Drosophila melanogaster: one gene and its partners. The protein of the gene in region 2 interacts with the protein of the main gene of each other region in a pairwise test. Each region holds a gene or a part of one and is shown on either strand. Other genes may lie near its edges. The genes, in order: Lac, CG6287, Obsc and CG5149.

The links.
Region 1: the proteins of CG6287 (region 2) and Lac interact in a two-hybrid assay, tested with the Drosophila melanogaster proteins (one large-scale study listed by BioGRID).
Region 3: the proteins of CG6287 (region 2) and Obsc interact in a two-hybrid assay, tested with the Drosophila melanogaster proteins (one large-scale study listed by BioGRID).
Region 4: the proteins of CG6287 (region 2) and CG5149 interact in a two-hybrid assay, tested with the Drosophila melanogaster proteins (one large-scale study listed by BioGRID).

Annotation. Positions count from the first base shown.
Region 1 is NT_033778.4:12,451,250-12,456,228, reverse strand, and holds the start of Lac (lachesin), read right to left. Parts: upstream 3,040-4,979; 5' UTR 2,713-3,039; coding exon 2,175-2,712; intron 1-2,174. Other genes in the region: Dyb (dystrobrevin), read right to left, coding at 4,939-4,979. UniProt on the Drosophila melanogaster protein: Required for normal tracheal development and maintenance of the trans-epithelial diffusion barrier. Functions as a homophilic cell-adhesion molecule. May play a role in early neuronal differentiation and axon outgrowth.
Region 2 is NT_033779.5:11,150,992-11,157,546, forward strand, and holds CG6287 (uncharacterized protein), read right to left. Parts: upstream 4,731-6,555; 5' UTR 4,611-4,730; coding exon 4,527-4,610; intron 4,143-4,526; coding exon 4,092-4,142; intron 2,574-4,091; coding exon 2,419-2,573; intron 1,564-2,418; coding exon 1,344-1,563; intron 1,281-1,343; coding exon 1,148-1,280; intron 1,036-1,147; coding exon 680-1,035; 3' UTR 515-679; downstream 1-514.
Region 3 is NT_033778.4:24,011,220-24,016,040, forward strand, and holds the start of Obsc (obscurin), read right to left. Parts: upstream 3,036-4,821; 5' UTR 2,643-3,035; coding exon 2,634-2,642; intron 1,820-2,633; coding exon of another isoform or gene 1,817-1,819; coding exon 1,695-1,816; intron 1,637-1,694; coding exon 1,505-1,636; intron 1,441-1,504; coding exon 1,270-1,440; intron 1,215-1,269; coding exon 1,049-1,214; intron 804-1,048; exon of another isoform or gene 735-803; intron 1-734. Other genes in the region: CG4324 (uncharacterized protein), read right to left, coding at 3,754-4,039, 4,102-4,496, 4,549-4,620, 4,683-4,808. UniProt on the Drosophila melanogaster protein: Structural component of the muscle M line which is involved in assembly and organization of sarcomere.
Region 4 is NT_033779.5:7,383,968-7,390,032, forward strand, and holds CG5149 (uncharacterized protein), read right to left. Parts: upstream 4,287-6,065; 5' UTR 4,137-4,286; coding exon 4,008-4,136; intron 2,682-4,007; coding exon 2,457-2,681; intron 2,216-2,456; coding exon 1,900-2,215; intron 1,838-1,899; coding exon 1,464-1,837; intron 1,400-1,463; coding exon 1,293-1,399; intron 1,174-1,292; coding exon 1,083-1,173; intron 1,025-1,082; coding exon 920-1,024; 3' UTR 519-919; downstream 1-518. Other genes in the region: ninaC (neither inactivation nor afterpotential C), read left to right, coding at 1-220; gudu, read left to right, coding at 4,709-5,325, 5,408-6,065.

The DNA of each region.
Region 1 (4,979 bases), on a different chromosome or scaffold from region 2:
GGCTATCAAAATAAGAATTATGTAGCCGAGCAATACGAATGGTGGGAAGGGGAGGAGGTGTGGTGTTACCCAGGGTTGTGGGCCTGGGAGATTCTTTTGCAGGGGGCGCAGCCCATTTGCCATGCTCTCAGGATCCCTTTGTTTGCGTATGTTTGCTGTTTACTCGTTCCACCTCTGAGTTTCATTTTTCAGCTTTTTCATTTTTCATTTTTTTATACCACCCAAAAGCCCAGACCGTGTCTGATGTGTAAGAAACAGCCCTCTGCCGCAACGTTTTTGCACGGGTTGTTTGCCCGGAGTCGCAGAGTCGCAGAGTCGCAGATGAGGAGACCCGGAGACCATCAAACGGTCCGTGGAACGTTTTCAAGTTGCGGAAGCAATTGCGCGTGCTGAAGTTGTCGAATGCCTCAGAAACTCGAATGGGAATGGAAATGCGAAACGTGAAAAGCGGCACAAAGGCTGTGCAGTCGGAGCTCCTCGTCACGCCCACCTCTGTGTACACCTCTATGTCCTCGATGGCCTCGGAACTGCAACTCCCCCAACGACGATAGCCCTTGGAAAACATTTGACTCGGCTCGTTGGCGCATTTCAAAGCGCTGCTGGACGTGAAACTGTGCTGTTTGCCTAAGCGCTTTAAATTAGAGCGTGGAAAAGTGTGAAACTCCTGGCAAATACTGGACCTCAAACCCGGAGCCCTTTGATTTATGGCGGAATAAAGTTAAGCCATTCCTGGCCAGCCGTGGAGCGTATCCAACTGGTTGCGGTTGGGTTTTATAGCTTGTAACGCGGGGCACGCCTGGTTTTTATTTCATCATTTTTTTGTTTTGAACCCACAGAAGGAGCCCTCAATGCCGTGGCAATTAAAGATTGCACAAGCCGAAGCTGATAGCTGATAGATACAAAGCCCCGGGAATTAAGCTGGCTATCGGATGTAACGAAGCCCAGGTAGGGTGTGTCCGCGAGTCGGTTCTGGGTAATGAGTAACTCTCGGATTAGTTACACTAATTGCTTTCCAAATGACGCTGCAATCTTGTTAAGGACAGCCATTATGTTTTGCCCGAGGGTCGGAGTTCAGGTAAAGATCGCATCGAGATCGCTATGGAACAGCAGCACCTGTATGGGATTAACCTAGCGAGAAGATTCTATTGTTCCATCTACCTGGGCACCAAATTACTTTAGTGTTTTATTAGCTTTTCTCTTCCTTTCGAGAATTTCTGGATGGACAAGTAAACGCAAACAATTTGTAGATAGCATTTGCACTTGTCCGAAACGGAGTTTCCCGAGAAATATGGACCGTTTTCTTGGAATGGGAGGAACATAAAGAAGGTGAAGAAAAATAAATTTATTATTTCTGGCATGTACATATATAACCCCCCCATTTGGGTTTTTCCAAACTCGTCAAGTGTATGGATAAGAAATTTCATTTTGCGCAAATATCGATGATACATTATTCTAATAATCAAAAGAACATGTATTTATACAAAAGCCAAATATCATACATATGTACGTGCTGATTTCTTCAAAAGTAATGAATAATAAAATGGATTTAGAAAGAGAGAAGCTAGAATTGAGTTCCTTGCTAAGTTAAATAACAATCAAACTTTTTCGCACAACTTAATGTATTCTTGAGCTAACAAACTTGCTAGAAATTAGATTTTCCCTTGTTATTTGGTTAGACCTCTTTGCGAAACAATCTTCTAAGGCCCAACAAGGTAAACAAAGGGTAGCATGTGTATGTTTTCGAACGACAGAAGTTGGAAAACGGCCTAAAATGAAAAATCAATCTGCTGTTGCGAAACTCAGCCCTCGAAACAGGTGGGGGGTGGCAGGGCAGGGCTAGACCCCGTTTACCAGAACAGCCAGCCCAAGCCGAGTAAACAAAACTGAAAAACTAAGGTGACGCCTGAGTGAGTCACGGTCACTCACACTGGAGCCCAGAGCATCGAGCCCAGTTAAAAGCCCCCATTCCCAGCCATCCCAGCTAAAACCTAATGCCAAAGCGGGACGGACAGAGCTACCTGACCAGAGAGCGGGAGCCAAGAGAACGGAGAGAGAGAGAGAGCGAAGAGGGAGAGAGAGAAGTGGAGAACGCGCCCCACCAAACGAAAGCTGACTTAGCCAGCGTACCCAGCGTAACCCAAGATAATCACCCACAAATAAATGAAGAAACTCACCAGTTGGCAGAATGGCATTGTTCTCGCGCCTCCAGGTGATGGTGGGTGTGGGATAGCCGCTGGCGTAGCACTCCATCTGGACCTCGCTGCCCTCGCTGGCCACCACCGACTGCGTGGAGTTGTCCGAGATGACGGGGGGACGGCGCACCGATAGCTTCACTTCGGCGCTCACTTTGTGAACGGTGGAGATCACCACCTGGCAGGTGTAGGTGCCCGCGTCCGTCTCCTGAATGTCCTTGATCTGCAGCTTGTAGGTGGACGAGTTGGGATCGTACCGCAGCGAGAAGCGCGAATCCTTGATGACCAGCGTGGAGCCCGTGGAGAGGAAGACGGGATCGCTGTCCGTCTTCAGGAACAGCACGTTGTACTCTTTGGCATACTGGACGGAGCAATCGAACTCCACTGTGCCGCCGATATCCTTGATCTGCTCCTGCGTGATGTAGGATATGGTCGGGGTTCGCTGTGCTAGCGTTTGCTGCACAAAAATGGCCAGGAGCAGGGTGCTCCACACGCAATTCGAGATACTCGGCCGCCACATCTTAGAAATTGACTTTTAGCACCACACCCTGCAAGCGCGCGATTTAATATATGTAGTGTTTCTCAAGAGCTGCGCTCCAAGATCTCAATCTTCTCCAAATAGGGTGAGAGCGCGGCGAAGACGTCTCCAAGAAACCGAAGACAACTATTGCCGTTTCTTTCTTGAGCACAGCAAACGCGGATGCTGAACTGCAGTCTCCACACTTGTCTTCTCGCTCAGAGCTGGTTTCAGACTTCTTCTCTCGATCAGTCACGAGTTTTGGCCAAGACGGAGATAACGCGCCGGAGAGACAACTTCACAGTTCGAAAGTCGCGAAACGAATGAATCTCTGGCTTTGAAAAGTGCGCCATCAAGAGCGCAACTTGCCTGGAGATGGGCACCTTGAATGTGCCTAAATAAAGACAGTAGTGTTATCGGTATGCAACATAGCTCAGACTCAAACCAGAGATAGCATATGGTTGATATACTAAGTGGAGACACACACTCGAAAATCAGATGGCAACGCCATTCCTCTTGGAACCAATGGCATCCTCAAATTAATTTGAAATTTAAAATGAAATTTCAAGCTAGTAACTTCATTTCAAAATAAAAACGTTCATTCTTTGTGATTGTTTAAAATGCCTTTTTATTTAATTTTCTCTTTCTTGTTATTTTATTCAGTAGTTATGTATAAGTTCTATAAATGTCGGATTTTCTCTATATCGTGCTCTATGCCGTTACGATTATATGGTATAACTTTTTTGTATGAATGCATATTATAAATGGATAATATATAAATCGTGTTTAGTTTTTCGTTTTAGTGTTCAACATTGGGCTTCTCTTTCATGTGATTCAAATAGTTGTTGGCTTTATCGTATCTCAAAGTGTATAATGTATATATATATATAATGTAGAGCATTTAGAATTTGATTTTAGGTTCTCAACAAGTTGCTAGTTATTAAGTACATAATATGTCAATGTCTATATCGTATTTGTATTACGCATTACGTGATTTGATTTTCCATTTGTTAAGTTTCTTGGTAATAAATATCCGCTGACGGGGGCGCTTACACAATCTAAAAGCCAATTACGAATCGCGGAAACCTAAAATTAAAACACCATACCTCTTATTGCCCTTTAGCAGTACGATCGTAAAAGTTTCAACGAGATTCAATGGTTTTGCGACTTCGAAGAGCAGTGCAACTGCAAGTCTTTTTTATCAGCTATATTCATATCTTTTGCTTCAGTAAAATAATCATATAGATGCATATATCCGTTTACATATCTGTGTTTTCTGTGTAGATAGCAATCTTCAAAGTATAAATTATAATGATTAAGGTAGTGTAGGCTACGGCTCAGTAAAATAATCAATAAATAAATTGCTCTAAGTCAACGTATGAGTTAAGGTAAGGTAGAAAGCTAAGCGAGAATTCGTCTTCATCCATCCAGCTGCCTCTGGAGATTCCCAGTCCTGCGGTTTCCACTGGTAGCCAGTTCTTAGTTCTTCTGCGAATTAAGACTCCATTGTGCAAACTGCTCCTGCCATTGGCTATTCGCATTTGCCTGTGGAAACATAGAAATCTGTATTAAAATAAGTCATCGAAGCCTCATGTTTTCTCTTTAATCGTACTCAAGATCTTTGGCATGCAAGGCAATTGGAAAGTAGCAATCACTACACTAGCTACAGGATATATAGATATATATTCGAATTATGTTTCGGATATCGAGTGCATGTACAGAGAGAAATAGATAAATAAGGATAGACAACGGCAAAGAACAACATCTAGATCAACAGTGAGCAGGATTTCATGGCGAAATCCTTTACCTTTTCATTCCACTCTTGGTTATACGATTGAGATTCGTCGAAATCTGAAATTGATCAAGTTTGCGGTGAGCATATGTATTATCGGTATCATGGCTCAAATCAAAATCAGACAATTTATTCGAATCCTTTGAGTCAAGCAGCCAACGTGAATCAAATCTAGAGACTAACTAGGATGAGCTGACTGAGATTGATTGATATATATATAGAGAGAGAGAGAGACGGTTGAGAGTGCAGCAATGATGATGAGCTATGTTGTAGAACTATAGAAGTAACTATAGATAGAGCCCCGACTGGAAACTACCTGAGGTGGAGTGGAAGTTCGTGAGTCGAGCGAGCTACGATGGTCTATACTGTAGAGGCAGCAGTAGATTTTGCATATTTTACCTGATCACAGAGTATATATATAACCTACGACGAACACTTTATATATTCAGACTATACTTCATGATATAAGCATGCATGA
Region 2 (6,555 bases):
TATCTTCCTCATTTCCAGGGAAAAAGAATTCACAGTTCCATATACATTTTTGTCCATTATATGAGCTCCCATTGTGTGATTCTGTTGCAGAATTTATGAATTTCTTCTTTAAATGGAGCGCTTTTCCATTAAGCTGCTGCAATTGAATCAGAATAAGTATCATACTACTGGTCTCTTTTAAATTTGTTAAATTGTTTAAGAATATCAAGTGGTGCCTTTGCCATAAATGAACTTTCACCTGGCAATGTTGGTTCAGTTGAACGTATTCGCACATGCTGAAGATTATGACACACAAAAGTTGGCAGGAAAGTTCACTGAAACTCCGCTTTTCCTTGAATGGCTATATGTAAAATCAACATTAAACTTGCTTTCTGGTAAAAGCCTTGATTTTTTTTTATCAAAATACAAAACGGTAGTACGAAATTCGGAAAACAAGTCAGCTTTCGTCTAAGTCCTTGTAGCATTTCGATACCTTGAAATGGTAACTTTCTAGGAATAATAATATACATATATAAATATTTAGATCTGAGAGTATTTTAAGAAAACTCTTCTTCTTTTTATTTTTACTTGTGTATTTTGGTTTTTACGTTGTTTACATCCCTGGTTGTAAACTTATTTATTTATAAATGCTGAATATCGAATTTAGAATGTGCTGATGGTTGTGAATATTCGATTTGCTTCACTGGTAATGGGCGAGTGCCTCCTTGTTAATAACGCCCGCATAACTGGTGTACTTCGGCGAGGTTCCATTGAGGGCGATGAACTGCTCCGCCACCTCCACGGCAACACGGACCTGCGCCTCCGAAGTGCTCGCGCCCAGATGCGGCGTGGCCACCACCTTGGGATGACTGATGAGGGCCTTGGTGACCGCAGACTTTGGCGGCTCCTCGGGATAAACGTCGAAGGCCGCGCCGGCCACTTTTCCGCTCTCAAGGCCATCGAGCACGGCCTGCTCGTCGATGATGCCGCCCCGGGCCACATTCACCACCTTAACGCCCTGTTTGCACTTGGCCAGTGTCTCCGCCGATATGAGATCTGATGGGATTCAGCAAAGAAATCTATATAGTTTAGCTTGAATTTTATGCATACTGCTGTTAAATGTTAATCTCTTAATCTCTTATAAATATTCTATCAATGCGCGACTTACTTCTGGTGGCTGGGATCAGCGGCGTGTGCACGGTTATGTAGTCCGCCAGTGGCCAAATCTCCTCCAGCGTCATCTTCTCGATGCCCGCCGCCTTGGCCTCAGCCTCCGTGGTGATGGGATCGTAACCAATAATCTGCAAAGCACTCAGAGTTCGATTAAAATTCCAAAATAAGTAAATACCCCATTCAAAACACACCCGCATGCCCCAGGTCTTCATCCGAATGGCGACCTCGCGTCCAATGCGTCCCAATCCGAGAACGGCCAGGGTTTTTCCATACAGCTCTGTGCCGGCATAGAGCTTCCTGTCCCAGCGACCCTCCTTCATGCTCTGACCGGCGGGGACGACGGGACGGGCCAGGGAGCCAATTAGGATGCACGTCAGCTCACAGGCCGAAATGGAATTGCCACCCGGAGTGCTGAAAGCGACGAGAGTTTAGTTAAACATTCCCTAAATGCCTCGCTAGACACTAGCTGTTGCGCTAAGTTGAGCGTTTCTGGTGGGCAAATGGGTGGCGTTTGTTGTGACTAGACAGCATTATGCAAATTCCGCCAAAAAAGAATTGAATGGGAGGTGGGAAATATGGCAATTTTCCAGCTTTCCAGGACATCTGACATGGATGTGGCCAACCCAGCACCCACCACCCACAACCCATAGCCACCCAAACACCCACGCAACTCCATCGACACTCGTCGTCCCTTAATTATGCGTGTCAAACGGCGTCAATTGACCCAAGTCATGGGTATTCTGGGCTGGGATGGCATATCAACTGCCAATCCTGCGATTCGGAATGCGCATAATTATTTGTGAGCTGCGCCATCGGAGATTACACTACGCTGCATACCATAAAACACTGCTAGTTTGAATACCCATGTTTATGATCATTATTGAGATTACCACAATTTTACTGAACAGTAATATTTCCTCGCAATTGATAAATCTGCCATAAAGGGCTACATAAATTCATTTCCGAGAACAACTAATTAATATTTTCGTTCCATAAATTAGAAACTGTTTAAAAATGCAAATAAATGAAATCGGAGCCGAAAATGGATTGAATTGTTTACCAACTTGAACTATAAACAGAATGGTAAAATATCCATGAAATATATTGCATGGCAAGAGCTCTAATTAACCATAAATAAGTACTTTGTACTGTTTGTACTTTCTATATCAGACTTTCAGCTACAAATACAAGTTGGTCTTGTGGCATAGTGTTCGTGGCTACTCTTTTCCCGCCCTGCAATGCACCGGAGGCTTACGGAGCACTTACTTCAGGACAACGACATTTTGCGCTGTGGCTGCGGGAACATCGATGTTGTCAACACCCGCCCCCGCACGGCCAACGACCTTCAGGCTGCCGGATCCGGCGGCCAAAACTTCCGCGGTTATTTTGGTATCCGAACGAACGATGGCTGCGTCGAAATTCTGAAATGCGGTGTAATTTAATAATTAGCAACTGGGTAAATATAAATATTTGTCATCTAATTGCCTAACTCATTTCCCTGGCCATCTGGATGGCATCGATTACTGCTTTCTTCTGGAAACGTGATTGATACCACCTAACACCTGTACTTTATCATAAATAAAAGCAATTCGTCTGGCGTATGTATGTTTCTGGCTAAGATTATTGAACCTCTTGATATTTTCCGGCAATTTGTGATCCTACTGGAAACAATTTATTTAATGTTGAGGCAACATCGTCTGATCGGCCGTTTGATTGATAAGAACTATTGGACCGATAGTAATAAATGGTGATAACAATGTCTGGCCCAATTGTTCACAGCAGATTATTGCCATTTAAAAGGAATAGTTTTTTTTATTTTGTAGAATAAAATCTGAAAGTGCATTTCGAAAAGTGGTTTAAAATGCTGGGCAGTTTAAAATGAACAATAGAGAATAATATAGTCGAGATACTCGACTAGCAGATACCCGTTATTTGGTTTGTGGGAGTGCGAACGAGCGAAATTACAAAAATTCTTTGGTATATCGATAGAAATTGTCAAAATTGTGGGCGTGGTAGTTTGCGTTCAGACGGGCGGACAGAAGGACGGACATACCGACTTGGCCAATGAATCTAATCAATAATATATATATAATACTTTATATGCTTTCCTGCTACCTGTTACATAAATTTCAAAGAATCTAACGGGTATAAAAACCATTTGGTTCAGACTAAATTCTTTTTCTCTCTGCGAACGTGAAAAAAAATTTGTTGTCAAGTACTTATTTTCTGACCCTTGCAATTTGCTTTTATGTTATTCAATAAAATCACCAATTAAAAGTATCCGTCTCTAAATCAAATAAAATTCAAAACATGCATTCGTGCCCATACAGACATGAAGCGGTTTAACTAATTGAGACAAACATGCTTGTCAAAATTTAAAGCTGTTTTCGTGCAAGAGAAAACAAATTTAAATAAATTATGAGAGTAATTGATTTTGATTTGAAGAAGCCACAAAATGTTTTTTTCTAGTTTTTGTTTATTTTATCTTTATAACTGCGGTGAAAATATTCTCTTAGCCATTAACCCAATAAGGCTTAAAGTTTGGAGACAAGGAAAATAAGATTTGTAAAAACATTCTATATTCCATAACAAAGATGATAATGTTAAAAAAAGGGGTCAATTCCTTATCATTAGTTTTAATTTTGTTAAATACAATCTCCATACTGCAGTAGTTTTGAAATATACTTTCGGTTTGATGTGCTTAGATTGCTTAGTTACAGACTAATTGAAATGTTATTATTATGTAACGCCCACGCGTACTATCATATATGTACACACACATATACAATGCACCCATATCTCAGAGCGTTGCACATGTTTTTAACCACACTTGAATCATTCGCAAAGCTTTCATCCCAGCGACTTAACTCGTTCATATACATCTGAACGTGTGTATGTATTTACTTATTTACCTGTACTGAAATCCCTAAGCCACTTACCTTAACTTCCTGACACAGTTCCTCCACGGGGAGCTTTAGTTTGTAGGTAACCTTGTCAAAAAAAAAGAAGGAAAATATATGGTCAACAACGTTGATTAAATTGTGCAATAAATTAAATGCACTTATTTTCTATTTGTCCACTTCTAAGCGCTTTTACATGCTTGCAAATTCACATACAGTGTGTACTCGATAAGTAAAAGCAATCGAATAGCTTAATTTAAATGAATTGCATTGTAGGCATAGACTTTCAAATATTTAATATCTTTTTAGTGTTAGTTTTCGTCGAAAAAACATTTTTTGTGTGGTTATACTTAGTTTAATTATTTGTATTTTTATCCGAGGGCGCACTGTACTTTTGAGCACTTGTATGGGTGTAAGCTTTTGCTTACTCCAACAAATAATCGACTGTCACGTCAGGGGATTGGCGAACCTTACCTTAATCCCATGCTGTTCCAGCAGCTCCACGCAGGATTTGTCCACAGCATCGCAGACCAGCACTTTTCTTATATTGAGGGGCATATTTGGGTGGGTAATGAATACACTGAAAAATCTGGACAACCGGTAGATTGCGTTAATTTTTGCCAATTACTTTCCGCAACTCACGATCTGCGCCGCCGAGCAAACAAATTGAACTGACTTCGAGAGTGGGTTTCTCGGGCCATCGAACCTGACTTCGAATGCCTCTCGCCGGTGCAGTGCGATTGTTGTTTTTTCTGGGTGATAACCAAACCACTGAGAGGATCGGAGAGCGCCACTTGGATCTTAAAGTTCTCTCCTTCTTCTCGCGCGATTTGTTCTTCTTGAGTGTGCGTGTGTGAGTTGTTTTCGATTTTTGCACGCAAAACAACAATTTTAACCCACGGACGACCCTGTGATTAAAAATGATTTAAAAATTTCAGCTTTTGTAAAAAAATATGGCAAGCTTTCTAACTTTAATTGTATTATGCATTTATTTACTTTCTAATAGGGTTCAAAAAAAAGTACTTACCCATATAATCAAACTCACGCCGAATAGATAAGACTGCATTTATTTTTAATATTTTTATTGTATTTGCTTTTATTTGCAATTTAGCTTTCATTTAACTACGTATTTTCCAAAAACATATTGTGAACAACATTTGAATGCGGAAAATGAAAACGAAAACAACAAAATGTCGTCAAGGTGATGGCAGGTATTCATCCTTAACATTAAATTAAAGGAATCTTACAAAGTTGTTAACAAAATAATTAGGTAACAAATTGAAATATCATTAACTATTTACATACAATTTTTGAAAATTGCTGATTGGATTTTAGTTACCGTTTTTCTCATTTTTTACAATATGTATATGTTTTGTATGTATAAAATATTCTATATAAATTGGGAGCGGTGTTGATATTTCCACCAATAGTTCATTTTTATCTTTCCAGGGTATTCGGTGTGGGGATCTTTGGTTAATAATATATTGATTACGGAAATTTCATGCGTGCTCTTGTCAAATTTTCCACCTTCTATTCCAGTTCAATAAGTTATTTAGGCTAAAAAAATAAGGTTTGCTTTTCTTATTTAAGTGGCTTTGAAAAGTAGAGAAGTTATTACCGCTAAATTTAATTATATATAGGCGTATCTTTAAAGTTTCAGTATGCTTGCTATAAAACTTGTTTGTATGTTTGTGTTTTTTTTTTATAGTTTTCAAGAGTGTCAACAAATCGAAATTGCTTGGTTTGGTTTTCATTTGTTTTATTATAATCGGAAATAAGAGTTTATTATTACAAAAAAATTGCTATACTTTTGAAGCAAACCAGTTTTACTTCTTTGCAGACCTCTGTCCGTCTGCTAGAAGGTTATGTAATGGAATATATGAATTTATCAAGTTTAGTTTTCGAAAACTTTCAAAGAACTTGAGTTGAGAAATTTAAGGCATCTTACAAAATATCTTCAACATATTCCTATCAGATCTGATGAAATTTTCATGGCAAAGTTCACCTTTCCGTTACCAGAAAGTATCTAACAATATCTGGGATAATCAGTTATTTTTTAATCAATATTATTTTAATTAGTTTTTGGATTTCACGCTTACAAAATGCCGGCTGATGTATCTTTATCGGTTTAAATTTTGTTAATTATGGCAAGAACATACATACATATTTATATATGCAGCTCTATAAATGTGTGTATCTTTTTTAATATATACCATTATAATATATTGAATTACCAGTTCTGTGAATTATGTGCAATATTCTAACATACACACTTCTCATCAACTGACCATTTAAACTTAAGTTTTCCGCTTGTCCCCTTCTTAGCTGCAAAGGATCGTATCTAGTTTTGTTTTTAACTTTATGCTAGTATTAAAAAGTAATATTTCATTTAGGTTTAGCTAATACATAGATCATTTTGCTTTGCCACTTTTTACAAGAAGTGCTTGTGTATCGTTTGCTGCGTTCCGTTATATATTTAAATTTCAATTTGTTCCTCGTTAAA
Region 3 (4,821 bases), on a different chromosome or scaffold from region 2:
TATACATTCTCGATCCCTCTCGCGTTTGGGGTTATTTTTGGAACGATGTTTAAAAATTTATCACTTGTTGCAAAAACGGATACGTGTGCGTGCGTCGGTGAATGATTGTCTATATGTACATATGTATGTGTGCTTGTACTTCGCTTTGGAAGGCTATGTGTGTATATAATGAATACTGCTACTGAAATGTTTGTTCGTTTTTTATTCACTCTGCGAGAATGAATGAGCTGAGTGCTCATTTCATATTCATATGCTCGTATTCATCAACCACGAATATTCACTGCTGAACCAATTTCGAAACGAATTTCATTAAAGTCAATGTTACAATATTTTCGCCAGTATATACATATTTAAACACTTTTAGATCTGAGGTCGAAATATGTGGGCTGAGGAAAAATTGTTCGCATGCATATATTTATAAATGTATACGTATTGGCGTATCTTTTAATAAATACACTCTCGCACAGTAAAATTTCGGAAATGTTGCATAACGGGCGAAAAGTCACAAGTATTCACGGATCGATTCGAAATTGATATTTTTTCCAGCAACTCGATTGATCGGCTGTGGAGTTCCATCACGTCAGGTGGATTCAACCGAATGGCCTCGCACAGTGGCCAGGATTTCACTGAATGGTGTGGGGGGGGGGGGGTGCGTTATCCGCATTTATCTCAGATTTAAAAGTGGGAGGACTACATGGAGATGGGTCCAGTCAGAGGGGACAAACTTGAAGTACCTTAGGCGAAACGGTTACGTATATGAGTAATTAGCACGACACGACCGCGAACACTACTCGGAAGCAACTGAAAACTGCAAAAGCTTTGGATTCGAAAGCGTCTGCCTTTAAAAATAAACCGATTCTCGCACACAGCACACGCATAATATTCGAAGACGATTCCACACTTACTCAGCCTCGCAGTTTATTCAATTCTCAATTGCTTTTGATTTCTGCCCACAATTGCAATAGTCGGGGGCATTGGTGCGGCATTCGACATGGCAGAATGAAATGGGAAAGCAATCTGGATACGCTCGACTGCCCGGGATACTCACTTGAAAGTACTTCTTGGCATCGGGACTGGAGCCCAGGTAGTCCTGGGCCAATGGTTCGTTCTGGCAGTACACCACATGCTTGTCGAAGTCCCGCTCCAGGCGCAGGAAGGTCTTGGCCACCATATTCGGCTGGTTGCTGTAGCACTTGAGGCCCTCCTTCAGCACGCTGAAAATCCAAGTGTTAACTTCGTGTACTCCAGTTCACCCCATTCGCTTCTTACTTGTTGTGAAACTCGGCGATTTGCAGGAAATTGCAGAATATGATATCCTTGTTGTCCCGCACGGAGCGCGGCACCACCGGCTTGTCGATGCCCTTGATGTACTTCTCCACCACGTGGAGCAGATCCCTGGAGAACTCCTCCTCAGTTTCCACCAGCTCCCTGAGAATGGTTCTACAACGGCCATTACAACTAGTATCTATCTGTCCAACTGGATGGAGTGAGTTGAAGTCCTTACAGTTTCCTAAACTCCGCATCGCCGCTCTCCTTGCCATTCGAACTGCTCATGGTGGGATTGAACTCTAGTATATCGATGGGCACCCAGCCTTCCTTGGGGGAGTCCCCGCTATCGAACATTCGCACAAAGCATCTGGAAAACTCACTGCACTAGAGTACCATACCACTTCTCGATGAACTCAATCGCTCACCTTGACTTTTCGGATGCCTTCGAACTTATCAGTTCGACCAGATCCCCGCGAGAAACGCTGATCTCGTCCGTGGCCAGCGACTGAGCCTGGTAGTCCCGACTCACAAACACGATATCCGCCACCTGCTGGGTAGAACCGATATCTTAAGTACGAACTTTCTTTTCTATAGCTACTCTCTTGGTTCACACACACATTTCTATCACCCATTTCGATACTTCAACACAAAAATATATGTACATATATCCCAAATAGATCGTTATAGATCTGTGAGTTTTTTTAGGGTTTATGCAATTGGTGCGATATCGATTTGATCTTTTGACGCGTTCGACTTCGCTATTTCACAAACAAAAGTGGCTGAGCAATATTTAGCCCGCTAGCTGAAAGTCTATTTTGCGTTGACATAGACACGCGGGCTCGGCTATTTATTCCGATGTCCAATTTTACTGAGTGCAAAGCTTGTGCAGCCGAATCAGCTGATCCCCCGATTTGTTCCCTCGAACAGGGCTCTTCACTTCGGGCCAATGATCCGAGACCACAGTGGAACCACAGTGGAACCACAAGATGGATCCTAACCCACTTCGCGTCAGAGGTGGCTTTCACTTTCGAGAGGAAAATATCTGTGCACCGAGTATAAGATACTATTAGGGTCCTTCGGTTTTAAGGTCACTAGTATCATCATCTTGAAGCACTCAAACTAAACTAAATAAAATTGCACTTTTATTCGTCACTAGCTGGTTAACCAGTTTACATTCACATTTTGCAGTTGGAAAAAACCATTGACTAAGTGCTATTTCCTAGCAAGGACGTCCACTGTAGCTTTTGCTCACACAATGTATGTACATATGTACATCTGGTTTGCCCAGAAGTATTAATAAGTAAATTTGGCACATGTTCATAGAGACCGATCTATAGTGTATTTTCCGGACACGCATAACTTACGGCATCCATTCCGGCTGATTTGAATATTAAGACTTTGTATCACTCGATTAACTCGACTTCACACACTTGATTAACTCACGCACATTGGCACGAATTCGAAAATGTATTGCATAACTTATTACTGGGGCGATTTCGTTTCGAATTTTCAATGCACTGGATTTGCACTGGATTTAAGGCATTATCGGCATTAGCCCAGTATCGAAAACTACGAAGACTAGTCTACGGGGCACTCTCGAGTTCGCTTGTCATAACTGAAAAAGTCGAGGAATTTTCCGCCTTTCCGCGGGCCAGGCCGATTCAAAAGTGGAATAGATTTAAATTTAAACTGCGGTCGCGTGAGAAATATTGGCTACTGCGTGCGGATACCAATGATTCTAACTGCATCCCGACAACTGTACGACTGATCGATATTCGCCGATCACAACAAAAGCTCCCCTCGAACATCGTTTCACAATTTAAAAATAATGCCCATGCCCATGCACCTCGCACTCGCCATCCGCATCCCCATCAGTATCTGCAAATGCATTTGCATTTGCATCTGCATTTGCATCTGCATCTGCATCTGCATGTGCATAGCCATGTGCTTAGATGCCGAACAGAGCGGACGGTCTGAAAGTTTATGGCTGTCAGAGGAGTGCATATAGATTTCGGCACCCAGAGTGCGCCAGCATACATATTTAATTAAGTATTATAATATATGCGCGGGCACGAAGTTATTTATACGATCCCATACGTTATTCGCAATGTTTATGGTCAGAAATATTGGCTTGTTTAATTAATTTGCAACTGCACTTCCTCCTGTCACCTGTCAGCAATGTAATCATAAATAAGAGGAAATTGGCCTACAAAGTTGAGATTAGTCACCAATTAGACCAACACAAACGGGTAGTTAGTAGTAACACCTCCTTCAACTGAGTATTTATGCCAATGCTAGACTAGAGCTTTCCCTTTAGGAGCTTTGTTACTTGTTAGAAGCATCTTAATCTATTCTAGACTTTTTAGATTACTACTAGCCCGCTAAGCCTAAAACTAGGCAATCCGAATGAAACATTCACACAGCTTCTAGGGACTAATGGGTTTAATAGTAGTTATAGATAATAAGTTATGGTAATCAGTGCACTCAGTGGTAGCCAACAGTTTCCCTGGGCAGAAAGACGCAGGCTATGGAGGCCAGCAGGCCCACGATTGCGTACGTGGACATGGCCTGAATTCTGGACGAGTCCATCAGCACCTGCGCCACGAAAGGGGTCAGCATGGCGCCGAGTCTGGCCAGCACGGAACAGCCCGAAACTCCGACGGATCTCAAGGCAGCTGGGTATATTTCCGGAGTGTACACATAAATGGCCTGGAAGATGCCGGATATCGTGCCGCGTGCAATGAAGAGGGTTACGGAAGTGGAGAAGCGACTAGGATTGGAGGAGGATTGGATTGATTATCAGATGATCAATTGAGTGTGCACCACTACTACCTTTCCACCGACATCAGCACCAGAGTGCACAGAACCAGCGCCAGGTACTGCAGAACAATGGTTTTCTTCTTGCCAAACAGCTTGACCACCTTGATGGTCAGCAGTATTCCAGGAAACTCGGACAGGGTGATCCACAGCAGGTCCATAAAGTCGGAGGTCATGAAGGTGACGCACTCATTGGGATGGCTCTCCTTGTTCCTGGCCACCAGCAGCTCGGTCGTGACCAGCACCAGGCCGTAGTAGCAAAAGGCCGAGGCCAGCCAGAGGAACCACAACAGGATGGTGGTCCTGTACAGGCTCGGGCTGAGCAGGGATCTAAAGCTCTCCGCGCAACTGGGCTCGTCGTCGGCCATCAGCCGACCCATCAGCATGTGGCGCTTGTTGTTGTGAGCTATCTACAATCGTAGGTTTTTAGACGTATAATCACTCCATAAAGTTACCACTCACCTGTTCCAGAACCTTGATGGCCTTATCATTGTGACCGTTGTAAGAGTAATAGCGAGCCGATTCACTGAGCCACTGTAGTGATTTAAAGATACATTTGATTAAGGATATTTCTGAAGAGAGCGAGGAATACGAACCGGCGATAGGATGGTAAAAATGAGTAGGGGTGTAGCCGAAAGGGCCAAGAGACCTCGCCATCCGTAATAGGGATACACAACCAGTGCTAGGACCACTTCAAAGCAAGCTCCCAAGGCCCAGAAGCACTGAAACCAGTAC
Region 4 (6,065 bases), 3.8 Mb from region 2:
GTACCAAGACGATGAGGGCTATAATTCATCATCGGGAAACTATGGTGTGTCTAGGAAGTTTGGCCAGCAGCAGAGGGCTCCGACCTTGAGACAATCTCCAGCCAGCGTGGGTCGCAGCTTCGAAGATAGCAATGCTAGATCCTTCGAGGAGGCAGGATCCTATGTAGAAGAGGAGATTGCACCTGGAATCACTCTTTCAGGCTATGCCGTCGATATCTAAAACTAGTGATTAAGAGTAAAAATATTAAAATTAATTGTTATGCAAACCATAAGACAATTTAGCTAAAACCCACCTAAAATTCCAAAATAATGATTGAAGTTTTCTTCATCACTTTCTCAAAAACGTTTCACACAATGGAATAAATAAAATGTCTTGGGATAAATCGTTATTTAAATTTTCACTTTTTTCTTACCGCATTTCATTTTTCTATCTCTATAAACCACTTAATTATTTAGGTTATTTGTAGGTAAATGCTACCTTGGCATACTCAAACATTTAACTTTAAAGACATTGATATAAATTCAGCAATTAATTTGCATTTTATTGACGTAGGATAAAAATGGGAAAAATTCGACGAATTAACATTGCTTATTATGCTTGCTTCTTTGTTACATCATTTAAATGATTTACTTTTCTCACTTTAAGATCTAAAACGCAACAACAATACTCTCAGTATTTCATAAACTATATCCATTATACATTGTATATATAAACATTAATACCTAAACAAAAACGTTTATAGGAATGGATTGAACAAATACTCTTTTGTTCGCAGGACTTTTTTTGTGTGTTCGATAGGGATTGCAAAAAAGCTAAGGAAACTGAATTGAATCATTAACTGCACACCCATATCGGGCATGGTCTCACAAATTCTCGATGATAAAACAAAACTTTTTCCTTAAATAGTTTCACATAATATCAATCATCCATGTTGGGCTCACGCAATCCATCCGAGTGCATTTTCTTGCCCGCAATTTCCAACATGGCCCGATCTTCCAAATTGCCATCCAGCACAGAACGTTTCTATGGGTTAAAGATATGATTATTTATTTAATATAATATTGAGTTTAATTTGACATACGTGACCGTCGCCTTCTTCGTCTTCTTCTTTAACTGGTAAGTCTCCTACGGCCCAAACTTCCATGTTTCGTATTTTGAACTGTTTCCGTTTACTTGGGTACGATAAATAATTGGTAGATTAACCACAATTGTTTAAAATAATGTTGAATTAAAATATAGAATCTAGTGGTCTGTAAGGTGAAACATAATCAAGATTTTAATTTACACTCACCTCAACTGCACGTAGTCTCGATATGTAGTGCAACTTTCAACGCTTTGTCCATCGCCGAAACTGCAGTCAATCCAAAGGCCCCAAAAATCAAACTGACCGCCCATGCCCTGTATACGAAAAATATAAACATTTAGCAAAGCAATCAATCAATTAGCTATAAACATTACTCACCAGGCCATTCGGCATAGTCTGCTGATTCAAATTCAAATACTGATAGTGATTGTTATAAGTTGTGGCCGAAAAGCACCGCATGGCAGGGCTTAAGGTGTAGAGCAATGAGCTGTCATCGCCTCCAAATTGCGGTTTCACGGACCACGTTTCGGACGCGTAGCCGCCAAATATATATTGATCCTCGTCCTCAATAAAGAACAGCGTTGGTCCTTTGTCCAGCACTTTTCCCAACATCGTCGAGAAGCTTTCCCCGTTGATTTTCGATGAGAATAGAAAGCGCCATTTGTGCCGATGTTCGCGGGGCAGCTGAGCATTGATATACAGGACGTGAGGTAGTTCGATGATAGGGCGATAATGACTATTTTGCGGAGCATCTGGAAAATAGGAAAAAAGTTATAAACGATTTTAATAAATTTAAAAATTTTCTTTGTCCTACCACACAGTGCTGGCAGAATTGGAATTTCCATTTCCTTGATTATGTTGCGTTTGCTGCCACCATGGCGACAATACAGCTGGCTAAAGACCTCGCGCCAAATCTGCAAAAACTGCGGAGTGACGTGTAACCAACGTTCCAGGGCATCGTTGGGCATAGTGTGCTCTAGCTCCTTGCCCAGATTTCTCATAAGGCCCTTGGCAAATGTGGCGGCGGACCTTTCCGTGGTGTTAAAGCCAAGATCGTGCCACTCCTTGATGCCAGAGTTTTTCGCTGTACTTTCCAAGTGCACGTAGCTCTTGATCACCGAGTAGATATACTGGGGAATTATAAAATTGATTAATTCGCGAGCAAAAGATAAAAGAATTAAATAAACAAGTTGTTCATATGACAGCTAAGAAAATAAACGTGGAAATCTAGTTTTCAGGATAAACATAAATGGAGAGCTAAACCTAATTCAATAACAAACATGTTATGAATCCTAATGAGGCTCGGCTGACAGAAGTTATAAATATTATTTCCGCGATCTGATGACAATGACTACTTATTTATAGACTCACTTGCTCCAATTGCTTGCTGTTGAAGGTGTCATTTCCACTTCTCTCCATTGAGCCCAGGAGCATTTGCATTTTCTGGTCAATAGTACCGCGTTCCATGATGTAGTAGGGCTCTCCAAATTTCTTCAGCTGAAGGTTGACACATTGCTGACCTGGCTTCGTGGGCGTAAATAGATACTGAGCCGTACTTTCGGCCAGGGATCTTTCGATGGTTTGCGACCAAGTTTCCTATTTTCGAAACAAAACAACAGATACATGTATATGTGTGTACATAAACAAAATGCGCGCCGGATACGTAAACATAATTTTCCCGCTGCTGTCAGCAAATTCTTGCAGGGAACGAAGGTCTGGGAAGCGCTGACACAGATTAACCCATTGAAGGACGTACAATGAATAATAATTTGGTTTGACTGAAAACAAAGTCTCTCAAGTTTTATGAAAATAAATACTACTTCAATGTATGTAAAGTTTCAATTTAGAGAGTTTCCGCTTAAATTACTCTATATGAATGCAAGTCTTATAATTTCCTCATTCTAAAAATCAACTATTTCACATGCCATGCTGTAAACGGGTTAAGCATATGGTTTATTTTTAATTCAATTGGGTTTGGCCCTAATTGACGACCCCAGTCATTGAAATCACGACTAATTCGTTAGCAAGCAAATTCAACAAAGCAAAAGACAAACAGTGAAATGCGGCAGCAAACAAATTAGACAAATTATGGACACGTTCGCACTGGCCCAGGAATTATCAATTCGAAACTGATAACGCCCGAGTTGAAGATATCGAATTTTGCTATACCCTAGGAAGCGCTGTGATAATCAAACACGAGCTATAAATAGATGGAAATATTATAAGGAAAAATCATCATCTGGTTACAAACAAACATTTTTTGAGTGGTTGCATTTCCGTCATCTGTGCTGTGATAAAAATAAAACACAAATCTGGGGCCTTGAACCCGCATCGGAAAAATTATAGCATAAATTGTGTATGATCAGATTGATTTAACTAAATGGGTTAAAATAACAATTTTGGAAAGTTACGTGTACATTTAATCTAAATAGGACTGACTAGTTTAGAAAATTACATTTTTAAACAAGTTGAATAATTTACTTTTTATAAACTCTGTTAAATTTCCTGGTTTGCACTTTAAATCGAAAAAGAACTGTATTAAAATAAGGTTTAGAAACTTTGAACTTTTGTATAATGCCGGATAATGTTGCGACTCACTCTCTTATATAACTAAGCTTCTTTTTCGGAACATAGTACTATGATTAACTTCAATGTTTAATCCTCGAAATAGGAGTTAGTGACAACAACAAATTAATGCCCTAAAGGATATACCCATTCAAGTGAAGGGTGGCCATCGCAGCAGGTGGATGGACGGCCGTTTGTCATGCACTCGAAAGTCCCGATTTCTCTTTTTTTGCCGAAGAAAGTTCACTCCGCGCGTCCTTGAACTTGTGACCCTGACCCTTCCGCAAATGCAGAATGCAGTTGCCATTGATTTTCGCAGTGCACACGTGGCACGGTAACTGGATTTACTTGACTTACCACCAATCTGTCTTGGGTCAACTTCTCAAGTGCTCCGCCAGAGGCGTTTTTGTACGCGGATTCCAGCATGCGTAGCTCTTCCGAATTGTAGAGATTATCCGTCTCCCGCTTGCCACTCGCATTTCCCATCTCAGGACACGAAATTCAGTTGGCTGGTGCTACGACGGCTGGTAAACAAACAATGCAGCTGCAGCTGCGGATGATCGCGGATTTTAATTGAAAATAAAAAACAAACAACACAAGCTGGTGATGGAATGGCAGTCGATTTCCCTGCGATACCCTCGATAGTTTCGGAAACGGGTAAATTTCGCGGTGGTCGTCTGCACTATGAATGGTTATTGTCTGTGCTAAGTCAGGTCGATGTATTTGCTAAACGGTTAATTTTAACCGCTAAGCGAATTCAACGAAGGCCAAGCGAATAAAATAAATTTTAAATGCCTTGGATAGCTGTAGTTAAAAATTTATTAAAATAAAAAAAAACTTACAAGTTTGAGCTAAGATACCTTTGCCCTAGCCCGGTATTTTTGAAATTATCTCAGTTACCTTAGCAACACGCCTTATTAAATCAATTGCCTGGCCTAATAAAGTTCTCCCACACAAAAACACAATAAATTCCGATACAAAACTGAAGAAAGCTGGCATACCGACAGATATTTCCGGAATACGATTGGCCAAATCTGTGAGTAATCCAACGCGAAAGGATGATTGGCACTAGCAGCGGAACGTCCCACAATCGGAGTCGAAAGAAGAAAGAACAGTGCGGATCCTGTCCCAACAGATTCTCAAAGGATAAGCGCCAGGTGGCCGCCGAGGACTCGGATACCACGGAGGTGGAATCGTCTACGGATGAGGAGGAACGCTGGAAGGAAGTGGCGCGAGCCGCTGAGATTCCGGCTGACTATTATAATATCCAAAAACTGGTGAAATACATCAAGGCGGGCAATCAGACAGCCACTATAGTATCGTTGTGCTGCTTGAAGGACTACGATCTGAGCACCCAGATCAATCAGTTCGCCATCTCGGACATCGGCGGACTCGATGTCTTGGTTAACATCCTGGAGTGCAGCGACACCAAGTGCTGTTTGGGCGCCCTCAAAGTTCTCTCAGATATCACACTGAACATCGATATTAGGAAGACCATCGTAGATCTGGATGGCATTCCCCTCATTGTGGACATCCTAAACTCTTCCATGAAGGACCTAAAAACCATGGCCGCCGAGACATTGGCCAATGTGTGCAAGGTGCGACTGGCCAGAAAGTATGTGCGCACCTGCGGAGGAATCCCCAAGCTGGTGGATCTCATCGACATCAAGTTGAGGTGAGTTGGCATTGGATAAAGTGCTTCATACTACATCACCACATATAAGAAATAATTAAAAAAAAACCTAATTATATTATAGCATTCTAAAGACGCCTCGTGACCAATTGAGTCCAGATGATCTGGAATCTCTCGATATGACACGCGCTGGAGCCCGGGCTCTTTTCACTCTGGCCGATTCCAAGCACAACATGGAGCAGATGCGCAAGAGCGGAATTGTTCCTTTGATGGCTCAGCTCCTTAAGTCCTGTCACATCGATGTCGTCATTCCCATAATGGGCACCGTTCGAAAGTGCTCCTCGGAGCCGAAGTTCCAACTGGCCATCACCACCGAGGGCATGATTCCCGACATTGTGAGCCATCTGAGTTCCGAAAATACCGAGCTGAAGATGGAGGGCAGTACAGCGATCTACAAGTGCGCCTTCGACGGAACCACCAGGGATTTGGTGAGGGAGGCTGGGGGCTTGGAACCTTTGGTAACTATCATAAAGGACAAGAATGTGAGGGAAAATAAGCCTTTATTGAGAGGCGCCACTGGAGCGATTTGGATGTGTGCCGTAACCGATGCAAATGTCAAAGTGCTGGATCAACTCAGGACGGTGAACCACCTGGTGGCCTTGCTAAATGATGAGTGTGACGAGGTCCTGACCAACGTGACCGGAGCTATATCTGAATGTGTGAGATTTCAAAGCAATAGGGAGCAACTGCGTCAGGCTGGAGGATTACCAGCAATGGTTTCC